Linked DNA regions of Macaca mulatta. The protein of the gene in region 1 purifies or fractionates together with the protein of each later gene. This does not show direct contact. Links are inferred from orthologs where the notes say so. Each region holds a gene or a part of one and is shown on either strand. Other genes may lie near its edges.

The links.
Region 2: the proteins of PDS5A (region 1) and WAPL purify together in Homo sapiens (affinity purification with mass spectrometry; 6 studies listed by BioGRID and IntAct, with this or other methods). This does not show direct contact. The link is inferred for Macaca mulatta from reciprocal best matches to the Homo sapiens genes PDS5A and WAPL.

What each region holds. Positions count from the first base shown.
Region 1 is NC_133410.1:39,196,148-39,200,060, forward strand, and holds the start of PDS5A (sister chromatid cohesion protein PDS5 homolog A), read right to left. Parts: upstream 2,955-3,913; 5' UTR 2,496-2,954; intron 2,466-2,495; exon of another isoform or gene 2,289-2,465; intron 1,649-2,288; 5' UTR 1,609-1,648; coding exon 1,471-1,608; intron 1-1,470. UniProt on the Homo sapiens protein: Probable regulator of sister chromatid cohesion in mitosis which may stabilize cohesin complex association with chromatin. May couple sister chromatid cohesion during mitosis to DNA replication.
Region 2 is NC_133414.1:63,354,405-63,358,217, reverse strand, and holds part of WAPL (wings apart-like protein homolog), read right to left. Parts: intron 1,225-3,813; coding exon 199-1,224; intron 1-198. UniProt on the Homo sapiens protein: Regulator of sister chromatid cohesion in mitosis which negatively regulates cohesin association with chromatin. Involved in both sister chromatid cohesion during interphase and sister-chromatid resolution during early stages of mitosis.

The DNA.
Region 1 (3,913 bases):
GTGGGGTTGGGCGCCTGTAATCCCAGCTACTCGGGAGGCTGAGGCAGGAGAATTGCTTGCACCCAGGAGGTGGAGGTTGCAGTGGGCCAAGACGGCACCACTGCACTCCAGCCTGGGTGACAGAGCAAGACTCTGTCTCAAAAAAAAAAAAAATTAGCCAGGTGGCGCACGGTAGTCCCAGCTACTTGGGAGACCGAGGCAGAACAGCTTGAACCTGGGAAGTGGAGGTTGCAGTGTGCCAAGATCACACCACTGCACATAGATTTGTTTTAATGAAAGAAACTGTTGTCTTATTCCTTCCAAAAAGGCAACAAATTGCACAACCAAATTAGAGTTTGAAAACTAAACCACATGAACATTTTAAACACTGTACTAATTAAAATGCAACATTAGGTACATTTACTGGGCTCCAAGAGCAAGAGGCCAAGCTCATTCCCTAAAATACATTTCGCCAAGTCGCCCAAGATGGAAACATTGTCAACAATGTTGCTTCCCTCACCTCCCACCAATTCTGATTGATTCTAACTCTGAAAAGTTGTTAAATCATTTCCTAGTCACTATTATCAATGCCATAGCCCTATCTGAAGATTTCAACGTCTTTCACCTAGACTACTGTTCATAGTTTCCTAGCCGGACTCACTGCCTCTGGTGTTTCCCTACTCCAATCTAGCACCAATTGTGACAATCAAAATGTCTCCAGCATTGCCAAACATCTCCTGGAGGTCAAAGTTGCCCTGACTCAGAACCACTGCTTCAAGCTGATCCTACAAGAAGAGTATCACTTATTTGGTAAGATTCTGGCCACAATCTATGTCAGTGGAACAGAAACCAAAAAACCTTACAAACGTGAGGCTGAAATTTAAAACCTTAACCTTAGGACTGCCATGCTTAAACGAAATTAGCTGACACCTCATAAAAAGAGCCATAATACTCTTAAACTCCTTTGAACTATGTATAGACTTAAATCATCTTACTTTAAGCCTGAATTATGAAAAGTGTACCTTCTGTCAAAGTTTAACCACAATATATACATATTTAAGCTTCTGGACACTAGAAAATTATGCAAATTTTTAAAAAGGACTTTGCGCTTTAATCAGTCCTCCTCACAAGTTGAAAACAGGAAACTTCTTGGGCAAATTACTGCCTACACGTAAGTGTGCAAGCCACTCTGAACAGTATTCTCATTAAATACCTCCAGAAAAAACTCTAAAAACACACAAATTCTCATGCTTGAAAACCAGGAAGTTTTTGAAAAATCACACTCTTTTTAAATTTCCCACAATGGTTATGTCCTTACAAAGCTTACTCAAAGATAACTTATCTGAGATACAACAGTACCTTTCACAGGGCGTAAGAGATCTAAAAAACTTGGAACTCTAAAGGCCAGAACGAGCAGGGTAGCAATATGACAGGAGAAAGCACCTCCTACCAAAGACATCTGAAGAGCGAACAATCCGTCCAGACGCTTACCTTCAGGCGTTTGATCATCTCGTCAGTGGTGATCTTGTCGGTGATCTCTTTTACCCCCGGAGGGTAAGCGATCTTCCCGTCGGCACTCACGACGCCACAGAGGGCAGTGGCAGGCTTGGGCTGCGCGGTGAAGTCCATCCTGGGGGACAACTTTTGGTTCACAGTCCTCTACCGGCCTCTATCGGTCAGAAAACCAAAGTTCAGCGGGAAAGGGGCGACTTTGTAACCTCTTTTTTCATTTCAAATCTCTCTAATCTGGAAAAGGCCCTTTCTCCCCGGACGCCGGGGACCCGGCAGCGGCCTCGCCACCCGCTCTTTCCCAGGGCTCGAACCCCGCCGGCCCCACCAGCCCCAGCCCAGCCAGCCCCAGGCTCACGGGGCTCCTCGGCACCAGCAGCCGCGGCCGCGGGAGGCGCCGAACAGCGCCAGGAGTTTCCCATTCCGTCTTTCACAATGAAACCCAGCCCCGAGCACCAAGGTCCGAAGTTTGGCGGCCTCAGGAGGCCGGCAAGGACCCCAAGGCCCCCGCTCGGCCGTGGGGAAGCGCCCAGTCCCGCCCGGCCAGTCCCCTCCGGGAAAGCAGACGCGAGGCCTATACGGCTCGGCTTAGGCCGCAAAACTAGGGACCCAGCGGACCCACGCGCAGCGGCGGCTCCCGGGAACAAAACGCCCTTGCCCAGCCGAGCCTCGGACCCGGGGTAGTCCCCGCCGCACTGCCGCCCCTCCCCTGTTCCGCTCCCTCACCCCCGCGGGAGGGGAAAACAAGCCGCCCTCCACCCCGAGCCCCACGCCAGGAAGCGGCTGACGCGGCTCCGCACTTCACATTTTGTTCCTTCAACTTCGGCTGAGGGACCCCAGCTGCTTCTCTGGCCCCCGGCCGCTTGGCGCCTCCGGCACCGCCAAGGCCTTTCCGGCACCCCCGGGCGGCCCCACCGGGCCTCGGACCCGCGGCCCCCCTCCGGTCTCCTCTTCCGTCCCCTCCCTCCAGCAGCCTAGGGCGGGAGCCGAGCCACCGCCGCCTTTACCTCCTCCTCATGCGGGCGGAAGGTGCATCGAGCGCCCGGGCCTCTGTCAGGTGGTTGCGCCGCCGCCCCTCGTCGGGCTGCACACAAAGCGGCTCCGCGGGTCCCGCCGCCGCCGCCGCCCGCCCGCCCGGGAGCGGCGCTGGGGCTGGCGGTGCCGAGGAGGAGCAGCCGCTGCGGGGGGAGACTCGGGGCGAGTGAGCGCTGGGCGGGGAGACAGTGCCGCTCTCCGTCTGGCCGAGGAAGAGCAGCCTCGAAGGCTCCTCCGGGAACGTGTGCGCGTGTGTCCGCCCGGGACCCCCGCAGCCCGCCCGCACGCACCTCGCGCCGGCCCGGACCGCCGACTCGGACCCGGACGCCCCTCGCAGCGGCGCGCGCCCGGCCGTCCGTGCCCCGGGAGCTGGCCCTCGCGCACACACCGGCCGGTCACGCGAGCGGCGCGAGAGCACGCGAGAGCAGCGCGCGCTCCTCGCTCCCTCCCCTTCCTCCGCCGGCCGTGCATCCGCCTCCCTCGGGCCCGAGGCGGCCGCGCGCAGGGCGGACAGCGCCGCCACCCGGTTGGCGCCAATACCTGCCGCGCGGGGCGCCTCCGGGAGGACCCGACCGGAGAGGGCTAGAGGAGGAGGAGCCCGGGTGGCGGGAAGCGAGCCCAGGTTCCCGCGGCCCTGCGGGGGCACGCGGGGCAAACAGCGCTTTATTTTCGCAGCGGCGATGAGCTGGTGACTTTGGGGGGTCATCCTGAGGGACATAGACGGAACCGGTTGGGAGTAGTTAATTGCTCGGTGAAAATGAACTGATTTCTTCCTCAGGGAGAGATCTGGAAAGTCAAGGAAAGTTGTGCAACGGGGCACAGCGTGAGCGGCTCACTCTCGGGTCTTCTGACAGCACCCGAGTTGCCCACCGTCCTTAGATTTCTGAAGTTAATATTTTGAAAGCTGCAAAACATGAAAATAGCATTGGGTCGAGTCGTTCTCAAGGTATGATCTTTGGGCCACCAGGCCTCACAATCGCTTTGGGTACTGGCTGAAAACATAGGTTTCCAACTCCAAACATAAAAAAGCGAGGATCTCTGAGAGTGGAACCCAGAAATAAGCATTTATTAATTAGGTAGGTGATTCTTGTCAAAAAGGAAGAACTCATTTTTTTTAATGTTTTAAACCTACCAAGCATTAACGTTTTCTGTCATCCAAAGGAAAAAACTATCAGGTAAAAAAAGTGCACGCAGCAGTGTTTGAGCATTAATGTTTGTGAAATAAATGAACGCAAGAGCATACACTTACCTATTTTTTAAAAAATCAAGAGCATACACAAAATTTCCGAAGAGGAAGTTGAAAAAAGGATACAATAATATGAAATCGCATTCAGCTCTTGAAACTGACCACTACCATAGTTTAAAATGATATTCGTTTGTTTATTCAAAT
Region 2 (3,813 bases), on another chromosome or scaffold:
ATTAGCAATGACTAAGAATAAAACAGAATAACAATATGCTATAATAAAAGTTATGTGAATGGGGTCTTTATCTTATCATACTGTACTCACCTCTTTTCAGAATGTGGTTGACCTTGGGTAATTGAAACCATAGAAAGTGAAACTGCAGGTAAGGGGGGGACTACTGTACTTACTATATATATTTTTTTAAATTCTTACCTGCATTGTTAGTACCAGACTGACTGTCCTGGGAATTATCATTGCTTTCTGGGGGAGGCTGCAAGGAGGGTGATGGAGCTGTTTTAGTTCTTTTTTTGCTTGTCTTTCTTTCCACTTGACAGTCATCATCTTCATCATCTTCGCTTTCACTGAGATCATCAAAGCCAAAATACTTAATTTTGTAATTAGAACTTCCAGAACCCCCTTCATCACCTCCTGTCTCATGATCTTCAAAACCAAAAAATTCAAGTTTAACATCCTTTTTGGATTTAGTATTACTAGGTCGAAATCTAGTAGTGGTCTTAGAAGTTGCAATGTCTGCCTTTTTTCTGAGACGACCAGCTTCTCCCAAATCTGCAGGAGTGGATGCAGTGAACTCATCCATGCTGCGTTCCATAGTATCCTGTATGGTAACATTACAAACTGACAAGCAAGATGGATGTAAAACAGTGTAATCTCTAGTCCGTCCAACTGTCCCTCTAAAACTGGTCCCACAACTTACACCGCCTTTCTTTGCCTGATTCAGGCCATCTTTACTCGATTCACTGTTTGCTTTGGCTAAGGCCTGACTGGTGCCATCCATCAGCTTATCAAAATTTGACGCTCCTTGGGAGGATTTCGCTTTATTGGCCCTACAGTACGTCCTACAGTTGGTTGGCCTAAGAACACTTTGTACAATATCTTCCTCAATGGCTTCATTCAGATTTTCCAATCGATTTTTAAAATCGTCATCCTTCATCTCCAAAAGGGGATCACTATCCAAACTTAAAATACAGTCTTCTGATCTGATATCTTCAAAATCATTATCCCATTCATACAAACCAGTTCTTACAGATCCCTTGATTGGAGATATTTCTGATGGTGATTCTGGCCTCTTCCCAAACTGGGAGTTCCAAGTATCGTTTGTTTCCTTGATTTCAGAAGCCACTGTAGTTTCTGCATTGGGTTTCTTAGTACTGTCGTCAGCATTTTTGTGAATATGGTGACTATTCTTCTCACGTTCTTCATGAAAATTCTCCACTTTATCTGTAAAAATAAGTCAAAGGATAAAAACATGAGTGGTATCAATATAAAAGTTAATAAACAACAGACATGTGGTTAATCAATAGTATATGATCAATCTCGAAAGAACTGCAAACAATTTTAGGTTGTGAAGAAATTAACGTTTACATATCAGACATTTTCTCTCCTATCTTTTCAGTATATAGCTCTCATGTCTTCTATTGACCTTTCCTCAGGCAATCAAGTCCCTTAAAATTATCAACTCACAAGAAATTTCAGCAGGGTTAAGCAACGGAATCCATTCAGAATGACATGCAAATGACTCAGCCAAACCTTCTTAGGGGTATTAAGGGCTTTTCAAATAAAGATGCTTAAATTAAAAATTATTCAGTAAAATCTAAACCAACCGAAAAACCTTCTACCAATGTTTTTATTTATTTGGGATAGGGCTGCCCATAAGGTATGCTAGTTCTATCTAGAAGCCTGCCCATAGGATCAGGTTTCTCTAGCTATTTCTGTTCTTTCTTCTAATCCTAAAAGCCATATAACCTCAAGGAATTTTTAGCAGTAGTTCTGGTGTGTTAGTTAAATGGCTAATAGTGGCTATTTATGCATATCAGCCAGTAACAAATCCTTGGCCTGCCTCTTCATCTTATATGTGGAGAATTCATTTTTGTTGCCTTCAATTTTTACTATTGGAACATTTTTATAACCTTTCCAAATGAGATACAAATATGATTCCAACTGGTATTATTATTAATTCCCTCAACACTTACTTGTAGAAAAACACTGGCAAAATGTATACTCTATGACAAACAATAAAATTACTTCTACAAAATATATCTACATTTAAGAAAATCTATTTACAAATCTCAATTAGTATCATCAAATACAGGTGAGAGGGATGCTTTACATGGACAGATTCACTATAAAATGTTTAATGCTACCCAATAGGTTTTCCTCCCCTCAAGACAGGACCTCACTCTGTTACCCACACTGGAATACAGTGGTGTGATCATGGCTCACTGCAGCTTCAGAGCCGAGCACAGTGGCTCATGCCAGTAAATCTCAGCACTGTTGGAGGCTGAGGCAGGAAGATCACTTGAGCGCAGGAGTCCCAGACCAGCCTGGGAAATTTAGCGAAACCCTGTCTCTTCAAAAAAATCAAAAATTAGCCTGGCGTGGTGAGGCATGCCTAGTCCCAGCTACTCAGGAGGCTGAGGTGGGAGAATTACCGAGTAGGAGGTCAAGGCTGCAGTGTGACATAATCAGGCCACTATAGATTGCATTCCAACCTGGGTGACAAGCAAGACTGTCTCAAAAAAAAAAATTTGAGCAGCTGTCACCAATGAAATTATAATGACATCAAGAATATACACATGAAAAATGCTTATCATGAGTTGCTAGGGAAACACAAAAGGTAAACTCCTTAATATACTAAGAATCGTTACATATCAGTAAATCCAATGTCCCAGTACAAAATGAAGCTAGGGGCCAGGCACAATGGCTCAGGCCTGTAATCCTGGCTCTTTGGGAGGCCGAAGTGGACAGATCACTTGAGACCAGAAGTTCGAGATCAGCGTGGCCAACATGGCGAAACCCTGTCTCCACTAAAAAGACAAAAAAAAAATAGCTAGGCGTGGTGGCACCTGCCACCCACTCCCAAGTCCTAGCTACTTGAGAGGCTGAGGCACAAGAATTGTTTGAACCCAGGAGGCAGAGGAGGTTCCAGTGAGCTGAGATAGAACCACTGCACTCCAGCCTGGGCAACAAGGCAAGACTCTGCCTCAAAAATAAATAAATCAGAAGCTAGGAACACAAAGAAGCAATTCATTAAAATACATATAATGAATTAAATAACTTATGAAGGATACTCAATTTCACTCACAAAACTCAAAGTAAAACAAAGCTGAACTATATTTATATAAGCCCTCAGTATACGCCTGGTACTATTCTAAATACTTTCCATTAATTTATCTCAAAGCAACCATCAGGTAGGTACTACTGCCATATTCATAATCCCTTTCCCACAATTCCAACATCCAAAAAGCTCTAAAAAGTAAAAAGTTTTCTCACAGCACACTTGGAAGCAAAACCCGACCCCAACCAAAGGGAGGCTGTTTATAGTATTTACCCTACTTAGGGAAGGTATTTTCTCCTCTGAAGAAACACTATATTTGAATAGAGAACACCACCTTAGATCCTGATAGGGGAGTTAATATAAACTTTCCAAAATCCAAAATAATTCTAAATTCTAAGACACATCTGGCCCCAACGATTTCAGATAACGAAATGTGAACCTCTATCTCATTCCACAGATAAAGGACAATGGGCTTACATTACTAGTTGTTGATTACATGGCTATTGAGTGGTATTTACTCTCTGAAAAATAAGGCAACTTATTAAAAAAAATTGGAAGCAACTTGAAAGTCTGACATTAATAAGGAATTGGCTAAGTAATGTATAGCACATACAGAAATTGACAACATGCAACAGTATTTTCTCAAAGGGTAGGGGGAGAGCCAAAAAGAAAACTGATATGGTATTATCCCCAAGCTATTACATGAGAAAGAGTAAGGTACAAAACAGCAGCAAATCATCATTTTGTGGATT